Saccharomyces cerevisiae S288C: one gene and its partner. Changing the gene in region 2 together with the main gene of any one other region gives a genetic interaction. Each region holds a gene or a part of one and is shown on either strand. Other genes may lie near its edges.

Region 1 (3,063 bases), on a different chromosome or scaffold from region 2:
GTATAGAACATTAAATGAAAAAAATGATTCACAAACTTAAAAAATACATAACATGGAGATTGTATCCATATTTCTACATAGTTCAGTGATAGAATCTAAAATCGAGTCTACGTGAACCAGCATCACTAGTAGTACTTAGATAGTGGTCTTTTTCCTCTTCTGACATTGCATTCCACCTCTTATCCCTCTGCTTGTTGATATAGACATAAATCAATTTGCTACCAATTAATATTGGAAACATAAAAAGTGCCAAACCAAAAAGAACTCCATTTCCCTTACGATAGAGTGGGGCATCGCTTTTCGCATAAATGTTTGAGGATATGATGAGACCTGCTTGCACGAACATATTGTACAAGCAAGTAGATACTGTTCTTGTTTTAACTGATTGGGAGTTTCTAGAACACAAGGATACACAAATTGCATGGATATACGGATTATCTAATATTAAGGTAATAATTGCATAAGTTCCCCATTTATTAAACATTGTACCTTTCCAAAAGCGAAGAACTGCAAGAAGAGGAACAGTGTACAACGGTTGTAACAGACTCAAACCTAGCCTGTTATTACATTTTTCTGTCGACCATGTTAAACCAAACAGCAGGAGAATATGAAGAACAAAGTTAGGAATAGCTAGCAGGTTGGCTTGAAAGGTTGTGAAACCGATACTTCTCAATACCAAAGTCAGGTATGTGGCCAAAACGTTCGTAGGGATATAAGCCAAAAGGCCCATCAAGTAGATAGGCTATATATAGTAATCTGTTATCCCCTGCCATAACATTTTAAGTGACATACCTTGCCTATTGTTCATATCCCCTTTTGTCGGATCATCTCTCAGAATCTTGTTTACGATGATTTTTTCTTCCCTCTCAGTGAACCATCCTTTCTTGCTCCAAGGTTTCTTCGTTTGAACTACGGAGGGTACCATCAAGAAGTATGCACTGATACCGATGACTAAAGTGAAAATTCTTTCTATCAAAAAAAGCCATTGCCACCCTGCCATGCCACCTATCCCTCTCATGTGAAAAACCCCGAAGGCCACAATTGAAGTGATGATTTGTGTTAGAGATAGTGTCACCCAGAAGAACGACAGTCTTATTGACAATTCTGAAGAGCTGTAGAAGTACGACATCCAGAGAACCAAATCAGCCACAAAACCACCTTCAAATAGGCCCATAAGTGCTCTACATGTATAGAAAGAACTCTTCCCTGTCATTTTGCATTGCAACGTAGCCACTAGGGACCACGCTATCATTTGCAGAGGAATCCAACTATCAGCTCCTAGTTTCTTCGAAATGAGTTGTGAGGGTAATTCTGCACACAAGAAAGTCAAGTAGAATATGGTGTTTCCAACGTTATAATTGTTAGCATTTAAACCCAAATCATGCAATAAGTTATCGGCGACCGCTTGTGACAAATTACCTCGATCAATCTGCAAGGCCACAAATAGGAAACATGAAAGGGGAGTAACATGCCAGTCTAACTTTCTCACTACTTTTTATTCTTCTTTCTTAGTCCATTCAAATGTTGTATCAAATCTTTCAAGACATTCATACTTAGTGGACTCGTACAACTGTCTATAATACTTTTCCACAGCAGGATTTAAAAAGGGGTTTTCAGGCTTTCCAGAGAGTTGTCGGTATTGGGAATGTTCACCAATGAATAGAGAGGTTTATCAGAAAGGGACTCCTCTAACTGAGTAACTGTAGTTTCTACAGAGGCTTTTTCAGGCTTGTACTCAAACATAAATACGAAACAAAGTGTTTAGAGAGTGCTATATTAATTTGTGTCTGAAATAGTACGTTTATATACTAAGTATATTGGCTCAGGCTGCCTTCGGTTATCAGCAGTGTCAATAAAGATTTACATATCTGTGTAATGGATAAAAAACTCTATGACACCCCGATTGCTGTTGAATAGTCTAGGTGAGTATATTATCTTCAGCAGATGGCTTTTCCATCAGAGCCATTGTGAAGAAATCGGAGGAAAATTGTGGTCTATTCACAATGACAAGCGGTGAGCGTCACCCTAAAGAACACCGAAACTCGGCGAGCTGCCAGATAAGTTCTCTTTGTTTTGTCTTAGCTTGTGGCGCAGGGTCCTCTGAGTATTCTCTTACATCGCGCCACAATATACGCCACAAGCCCGAAACAGTTGTAATCACTATGAGTTTGTATTCCACCGTTAGTGTGAATCTATCTTTCCACTATTAGCTGGAATGTCGATGAAAACCAGGTGATGGAAAGTAGATGGTCTGAAACTACCATTTTGAAGAACGCAAACTTTATCGAAGTAAATCGAAACGGCAGATTCATTTGAATTTGAGATAACTTTAAATTTCAATTCACAATAGTAAATGTTATTAGGAAAACAGAATATACGAAAAGCTCTCTTCGGAAGTATAGGTGACTGTAAATAGAAACCTGTAGCTCCACCAAAGTATTATAGATTACTGTGTCTTCCTTTTTTAAACACTCTGATTCATTAGTTTCACTGTATATTAATCCGTACTTTTCCAATTGTAGTAAATACGATAACACCTCGAACCACACTTTACAAGCTTTATAACTTATATCATTCTCGATATCGTATATGATAATCAGTGGGCCAGGAATGATTTCTCTTCTTCACAAAAGGCCTCGTATTGAAGAAATACTATTGAAAAATTATATAATATAGTGGATAAAAAAGTTGGCATCTAAAAATCAAGTTTCTCGCCGATTTCTGATAATATATTCAAGTGCTTCCCCCCATAGGCTCAACGACGGGAAAGGACTGGTCGAAGTCGTCAAACAACTTCAACAGCTCTTCAATTCTGAGTCGATTACCCTCTATTTCGACTTCTTTTGATCTTAAAAAATCAACCATAGTAATTTCATTGGCCAATAAAGCTTCAAATGTAGTTCTTTTGAGAGTAATTGTTGCATCTGCATCTGTCTGCCAGCCCTGAATGTAGGTCAGGGCACAGTTTTCGAGAGTGATCACGAACCGTTCATTTGAATTAATGAAACACCAATTACTAACGATAATTTTACCTTCTGCTTTCGTAGCGTTCAATCTCACAGC
Region 2 (8,405 bases):
AATCAACCAAAGGTAGCAAATAGACTGAAATCCTTCTATTTCTATGCACAAGCTATGAGAAATGCCGTCGTCATAGTAGTTTTTACTGCCATATCGTGGAGCATAACAAGAAACAAATCTTCAAAAGACCGTCCAATCAGTATTCTGGGTACAGTTCCCTCGGGCTTAAATGAGGTGGGAGTTATGAAAATCCCAGACGGTCTGCTATCTAATATGAGTTCAGAAATACCTGCTTCAATTATCGTTCTGGTGTTAGAACACATCGCTATTTCAAAATCCTTTGGTAGAATTAACGACTACAAGGTTGTCCCTGACCAAGAACTTATTGCGATTGGTGTGACAAATTTGATAGGGACATTTTTTCACTCATATCCAGCAACTGGGTCATTTTCCAGATCTGCTTTGAAAGCAAAATGTAACGTGCGCACTCCGTTTTCTGGGGTATTCACTGGCGGTTGCGTTCTATTAGCACTTTATTGTTTAACTGACGCCTTCTTTTTCATTCCTAAAGCGACACTATCGGCGGTTATTATTCATGCTGTTTCTGATTTGCTGACTTCTTACAAAACCACCTGGACCTTCTGGAAGACCAACCCGTTAGATTGTATCTCATTTATCGTTACAGTGTTCATCACAGTATTTTCATCCATTGAAAATGGTATATATTTTGCAATGTGTTGGTCATGTGCAATGTTACTATTGAAACAGGCTTTCCCTGCTGGTAAATTCCTTGGTCGTGTTGAGGTGGCAGAAGTATTGAACCCAACAGTACAAGAGGATATTGATGCTGTGATATCATCTAATGAATTACCTAATGAACTGAATAAACAGGTTAAGTCTACTGTTGAGGTTTTACCAGCCCCAGAGTATAAGTTTAGCGTAAAGTGGGTTCCGTTCGATCATGGATACTCAAGAGAATTGAATATCAATACCACAGTTCGGCCTCCTCCACCAGGTGTCATAGTCTATCGTTTGGGTGATAGCTTTACTTACGTGAACTGCTCAAGGCATTATGACATTATATTTGATCGTATTAAGGAAGAAACAAGGCGAGGCCAACTTATAACCTTAAGGAAAAAGTCAGACCGTCCATGGAATGATCCTGGTGAATGGAAAATGCCAGATTCTTTGAAATCACTATTTAAATTTAAACGTCATTCAGCAACAACGAATAGTGACCTACCGATATCGAATGGAAGCAGTAACGGAGAAACATATGAAAAGCCGCTACTGAAAGTCGTCTGCCTGGATTTTTCCCAAGTTGCTCAAGTGGATTCAACCGCTGTTCAAAGCCTGGTTGATCTGAGAAAAGCTGTGAATAGGTATGCGGATAGACAAGTCGAATTCCATTTTGCCGGAATTATATCTCCATGGATCAAAAGAAGTCTTTTGAGTGTTAAATTCGGAACTACAAATGAGGAATATAGTGACGACTCTATTATCGCTGGCCATTCTAGTTTTCACGTTGCAAAAGTTTTGAAGGATGATGTGGATTATACTGATGAAGACAGCCGTATAAGCACATCTTACAGTAACTATGAAACATTATGTGCTGCAACTGGGACAAATTTACCGTTTTTTCATATCGATATACCCGATTTTTCTAAATGGGACGTTTAGTGTAGTAGATAGTAAGTACTTTAATTACCCCCCCTGTTTTTAGTTATACATGAAAAGATAATTGTGTTATTAATGTAGATTACCATCAAATAGCTGGAATATTTATTATTTTGAGTATGTTGAATGGCGAAAGTAAAAATAAATTTTATAATTTCCTGAAAGCATTAGTACACGAAAAGGGCCGTTTTCAGTAGTTTAAGGCGCTGAAAAGACATGGTCTAGAAGTTAACTTGAGCTTGAGCCTATTTTCTACAAATGTCCTTTGAAAATACAAAAATAAAAATAAAAATGCATTTAAGTATTAAGCTTATGCTAGATAGAGCAACATTTTCCTAATTTTTTTTGAATTTATTTCATGGTTTTTAGGCGGAAAGAGTTTGGACGGCTTGTCTCTCCTAATGTGGAAGAAATTATGTTTTGTTATGAATCTGAAAAGAAAAATACTATTTTAGCAATACAATGAATTTTAAAAAGTTACCCTGTACTTTAATCCTTCAATTAAAACACTTCTTAAAATAGTATATTTTGAAGATCATCGATATATATACAGAGGCAGTTTTGCAAGGCAGATAACGTTATTGAGTTGTATGTAGGCTGTGTGATTTTAATCTCATAAATCAATAATGGAATAATTTTCTTATTGTTAATATCGATTTATATTTTCCAACAATACAATGAAGTAAGTACTATTTCTATTTGGAAGGAATTCATTCCCCATTTTAGCTCCTCGAGCGGATGAATCCATCACTGTTTTGAAGAAAACCAACAAAGTGTCAAATAGTTGTCTTTTTGAAATTGGTTCTGAAGAGTTTTCGGAAAATGATCTGATAACAGGCCTTTCTAAAAATATAAGGTTGAACGAATGTATGGGTTAGGTAATCAAAATTTAGGCGCCAACAAGGAATTTTTCTTTAAAATCGCATGAAAAGCCTACACTTGGCATAAATAAGGTGCAATTATAAATATAAAAGCAAGATATTTTCGAGATGCTTCCAGGATTTATACAATGAAAGAGCCCAAAGCTGCTGATAACGATGAAGCCGGAAAAACTCTTCTCCGGTTTAGGTACCAGCGATGGCGAGTATGGAGTGGTAAATAGCGAGAACATATCAATAGATGCTATGCAAGATAATAGAGGCGAGTGTCATCGTAGATCCATAGAAATGCATGCTAATGACAATCTGGGATTGGTCTCCCAGCGAGACTGTACCAATCGGCCCAAAATTACTCCTCAGGAATGTTTGAGTGAGACTGAGCAGATATGCCATCATGGCGAGAATAGGACTAAGGCTGGGTTAGATGTAGACGATGCTGAAACCGGTGGTGATCACACCAATGAATCCCGTGTAGATGAATGTTGTGCTGAGAAAGTGAACGACACTGAGACTGGCTTGGATGTGGACAGCTGTTGCGGCGATGCTCAAACAGGTGGTGACCACACCAATGAATCCTGTGTTGATGGATGCTGCGTTAGAGATTCTTCAGTGATGGTCGAGGAAGTTACAGGCAGCTGCGAAGCTGTATCTTCTAAAGAACAATTGCTGACCAGCTTTGAAGTTGTTCCAAGCAAATCTGAAGGTCTGCAATCTATTCATGATATTAGAGAGACAACTCGCTGCAATACCAATTCCAACCAACACACAGGGAAGGGTAGGCTTTGCATCGAATCAAGTGACTCTACACTCAAGAAAAGAAGTTGTAAAGTTAGCAGACAGAAAATTGAGGTTTCCAGTAAGCCTGAGTGCTGCAACATTTCATGTGTTGAGCGGATTGCATCTCGTAGCTGTGAAAAGAGGACTTTTAAAGGTAGCACCAATGTTGGAATTTCTGGGAGTAGCTCTACCGACAGTTTAAGCGAGAAGTTCTTCAGCGAACAGTACTCTAGAATGTACAATCGTTACTCCTCAATTTTGAAAAATTTAGGTTGTATCTGTAACTATTTGCGTACTTTGGGAAAAGAATCTTGTTGTCTCCCAAAGGTGCGTTTTTGTAGCGGGGAGGGTGCTTCTAAAAAGACAAAATACTCCTACCGCAACAGTTCTGGATGTTTAACAAAGAAAAAGACCCATGGAGACAAAGAAAGGTTGAGCAATGACAATGGCCATGCTGATTTTGTTTGTTCTAAAAGTTGTTGCACTAAAATGAAGGATTGTGCTGTTACCTCAACTATTTCTGGACACTCTTCGAGTGAAATTTCAAGAATCGTATCAATGGAACCAATTGAAAATCATCTTAATCTTGAGGCAGGATCTACCGGTACCGAGCACATTGTTCTTAGTGTTTCAGGAATGTCCTGTACTGGTTGTGAATCAAAACTTAAGAAATCATTTGGCGCGCTCAAATGTGTTCACGGTTTGAAGACCAGTTTAATATTATCGCAAGCTGAATTTAATCTGGATCTTGCTCAGGGATCTGTCAAGGATGTTATCAAGCACTTGAGCAAAACTACTGAATTCAAGTACGAACAGATTTCAAATCATGGTTCAACTATAGATGTTGTTGTTCCTTATGCAGCAAAAGATTTTATTAATGAGGAATGGCCACAAGGTGTCACAGAGCTGAAAATTGTTGAGAGAAATATCATTCGTATTTACTTTGACCCAAAGGTTATAGGTGCCAGAGATCTTGTCAATGAAGGATGGAGCGTGCCTGTTAGTATTGCTCCATTCAGTTGTCATCCAACCATTGAAGTGGGAAGGAAGCATTTAGTTCGTGTAGGCTGCACGACCGCTTTATCCATAATATTGACGATCCCGATTCTCGTGATGGCTTGGGCTCCACAGCTTCGTGAAAAAATTTCCACTATCTCCGCGTCAATGGTGCTAGCAACTATTATTCAATTTGTTATTGCAGGACCGTTTTACTTAAATGCCTTGAAGAGTTTGATATTTTCCAGGCTCATTGAAATGGATCTACTAATAGTTTTAAGCACTAGCGCTGCCTACATATTTTCGATTGTATCATTTGGATATTTCGTTGTTGGACGCCCGTTATCTACGGAGCAGTTTTTTGAAACCAGCTCTTTGCTTGTAACTCTCATCATGGTTGGTCGCTTTGTGAGTGAACTAGCTAGACATAGGGCTGTAAAGTCAATATCAGTACGTTCCTTACAGGCCTCTTCTGCTATTCTGGTGGATAAAACTGGTAAAGAGACGGAAATTAATATTAGACTTCTCCAATATGGCGATATTTTTAAGGTTTTACCTGATTCAAGAATCCCAACTGATGGAACAGTCATTTCTGGGTCTTCTGAAGTCGACGAAGCGTTAATCACAGGTGAATCTATGCCAGTCCCGAAAAAGTGTCAATCAATTGTTGTTGCAGGATCGGTGAATGGCACTGGTACTTTGTTTGTGAAGCTGAGCAAGCTTCCAGGGAACAATACTATTAGTACCATAGCCACGATGGTTGATGAAGCAAAATTAACTAAGCCAAAGATCCAAAATATCGCTGATAAAATTGCAAGTTATTTCGTGCCAACTATCATTGGAATCACTGTCGTCACCTTTTGCGTTTGGATAGCGGTTGGAATCCGTGTGGAAAAGCAATCCCGCTCCGATGCCGTAATTCAGGCCATTATATATGCCATTACGGTACTTATCGTTTCGTGTCCCTGCGTGATTGGACTTGCCGTTCCTATCGTATTTGTTATTGCAAGTGGCGTCGCTGCGAAAAGAGGGGTAATCTTCAAATCAGCAGAGAGTATAGAAGTTGCTCACAACACTTCGCATGTTGTCTTCGATAAAACGGGTACCCTAACTGAAGGAAAACTTACTGTAGTACATGAAACTGTTAGGGGTGATCGTCATAATTCTCAATCTTTGTTGCTTGGATTAACTGAAGGAATAAAACACCCAGTTTCCATGGCAATAGCATCCTATCTCAAAGAAAAAGGTGTTTCTGCTCAAAATGTTTCTAATACAAAAGCTGTGACTGGTAAGCGGGTAGAAGGAACATCATACTCTGGTTTGAAGTTACAAGGAGGGAACTGTCGTTGGCTTGGTCATAACAATGATCCTGACGTTCGAAAAGCCCTTGAACAAGGATATTCTGTATTCTGTTTTAGTGTTAATGGTTCAGTCACTGCAGTTTATGCATTAGAGGACTCTTTACGGGCAGATGCTGTCTCCACTATTAACTTGTTACGCCAAAGAGGGATTTCACTACACATTTTATCAGGGGATGACGATGGAGCCGTTCGTTCTATGGCAGCCCGTCTTGGAATTGAAAGCTCCAATATTCGTTCTCACGCAACGCCTGCAGAAAAGAGTGAATATATTAAGGATATTGTCGAAGGAAGAAATTGCGATAGTTCTTCGCAGTCAAAAAGACCGGTTGTTGTTTTTTGCGGTGACGGAACAAACGACGCAATTGGTTTGACTCAAGCAACGATTGGAGTTCATATCAATGAGGGAAGTGAGGTTGCCAAGCTAGCTGCTGATGTAGTTATGTTAAAGCCAAAGCTCAACAATATTTTGACTATGATAACTGTAAGTCAAAAGGCCATGTTTAGGGTCAAATTGAATTTCTTATGGAGTTTTACTTACAACTTATTTGCTATCCTTTTGGCGGCTGGTGCCTTTGTTGACTTTCATATTCCACCAGAGTATGCGGGTTTAGGGGAACTAGTTAGTATCCTCCCTGTAATTTTTGTAGCTATACTTCTGCGTTATGCAAAGATTTAGTCCAGGTACTGCTGCTATTTGATTGTAGATTTTCTTTTTTCTTTTCTTTTTTTTTTTTGACGACTCTGTAATACTCTATTTATTATTTAGTTTAGTTTTCTATTTAATATGATGGAATTCATAAAAAAAAAAAATACACATAGCCATGCCAGGTAATTGCAGATCAACTGATAAATTAGAAAAAAATTAATGCATCTTTAAGGTTTTAAATTAGAAATGTTTTAACTTTAAAGTCACTGAGCAATAAAAGTTCTACCTAATGTTGTAAAACTGTATTCATAACCGAAACACATTATGATTATGTCATTTGGTATTCCACACCAAAGCGAGGAGCATTCAAAATGATACCATTTATGATACCGGCAATCAAACCAGCAATTGGTAAAGTTAAAAACCAACCAGAATAACACCAGGCTACCATTCTCCAATTAACTGATTTGAGATCCTTGTTACATAAACCAACAGCGACAATACCACCAACGGCGATCTGGGTTGTTGAGGTAGGAATACCTAATTGGGTAGCCATGACAGTAGTAATAGCAACAGCTAGTTCAATTGAAAAGCCTCTTGATGGCGACTGCAAAATCATCTTATTACCTAGATTTTTGATAATATTGTAACCATAAGTCCAGCAACCAATAACTAAGGCAACACCACCATAAGCCAGAACCCACACGGGAACTTCGGACTTTGCCCCAATAGTGTTAGTTTTCCAGATCACATACACAGCAGACAAAGGACCAGTAGCGTTGGCAACGTCATTAGCTCCATGAGCAAAAGACATAGTGGCTGCAGTAATGGCTTGGAGAACCGAATAGATATATTCTACTCTATTGTCGTAAAATTTAGATCTTTCGTACATTCCTTTCAGGTCACCAGATAACATATCTCTATCATTAACTTGAGCATGAATGACGTCTTGAGTCCAACCATGAGAGATTACTAACCAGAACAATAAGGGCCATTTTTTAGGTCCTTGCTTTAATAATGACCACCAATATTGTTTCGTTGACAACTTTGTTTCTGGTTCAGTTTCAGTTCTAACCAGGTCCACTTCCTGGATGTCTTCTTTGTTTTTGACGGAATCATTAGAATTACTCGCTGCCTTATTTTCTTCGTCTTCAACAGAAACAGTTGTTCCAAGATTTCTTCTGCCCTCGTAATAATCGATTGTTAATTGATGGCCTTCTGGCATTGGTGGGATATCATCAGTGGACTTAAAGTAAAAAGATGGACCTCTGAAAATATCAATCAACTTTAGTGTCCAATCTTGGTCCAAAACTTTTCTTCTGTAGAATGGGTAGAAAAAGATGAAGTAAACGATCGAAGCAATTGCACCTGTGAGAACAATAGATACGGCAGTTTCAGTTTCAGATAAATCGTCCAAGTGTAGGTTTGGAGAACCCTTCCAGACAATCAACATTGTTAAGATAGAGAAAGTGGCGAATACTAAAACACCAACCAGCAGTAAAGCATTCTTAATCGATCTTTCCAAAGACTTAACTTCAAGGACAGAAAACCTAGAAATTGAAAAAACTATAGCTGCGATCGCGCCTGCCAAAATCGGAGCAATGAACCATGACGCAATAATTTGAGAAACACCACTCCAACCCCAAACGACACCGTTAGCTCCACCGGCTGCAATCCCAGCGCCAATTGTACCACCAACAATGGAATGTGTAGTAGAAACTGGCATTCCGATTGCAGTAGCAAATGTTAACCAACAAGACGAGCCAATCAAAGCACTGGTCATAGTAAGCATTAAAACAGCGGGGTCGTTGGTAAAAATGGAGGAATCTATAATGTTGTTCTTGATAGTACCAGAAACTCTTGCGCCTGCCAAGACAGCACCCAAGAACTCACAGAGACCCGCCAAAACCATGGCTTGCCAGTATTTTAGAGATCTAGAAGAGATCGACGACGCGAATGAGTTCGCCACGTCGTTTGCCCCGATGTTAAAGGCATCCAAAAATGCAAATAACATGGCAATGGCAAAAATATAGTCAAATTGATGTAAAGCCATTTTTGCTTAATCTTTGTTTATATTGATTCGATTAGATACGCTCCAGTATTCTCACCTTTGATCTATGTCACTCATTC

Evidence for each region.
Region 1: mutations in PCA1 (region 2) and YOL163W together harm fitness more than expected from each alone (negative genetic interaction), as found in Saccharomyces cerevisiae (2 studies listed by BioGRID).

Annotation. Positions count from the first base shown.
Region 1 is NC_001147.6:7,786-10,848, reverse strand, and holds YOL163W (uncharacterized protein), read right to left. Parts: upstream 1,253-3,063; coding exon 743-1,252; downstream 1-742. Other genes in the region: YOL162W (uncharacterized protein), read right to left, coding at 83-730; BDS1 (sulfuric ester hydrolase), read right to left, coding at 2,734-3,063.
Region 2 is NC_001134.8:790,195-798,599, forward strand, and holds PCA1 (cation-transporting P-type ATPase PCA1), read left to right. Parts: upstream 1-2,654; coding exon 2,655-6,305; downstream 6,306-8,405. Other genes in the region: SUL1 (sulfate permease), read left to right, coding at 1-1,620; PHO89 (Pho89p), read right to left, coding at 6,604-8,328.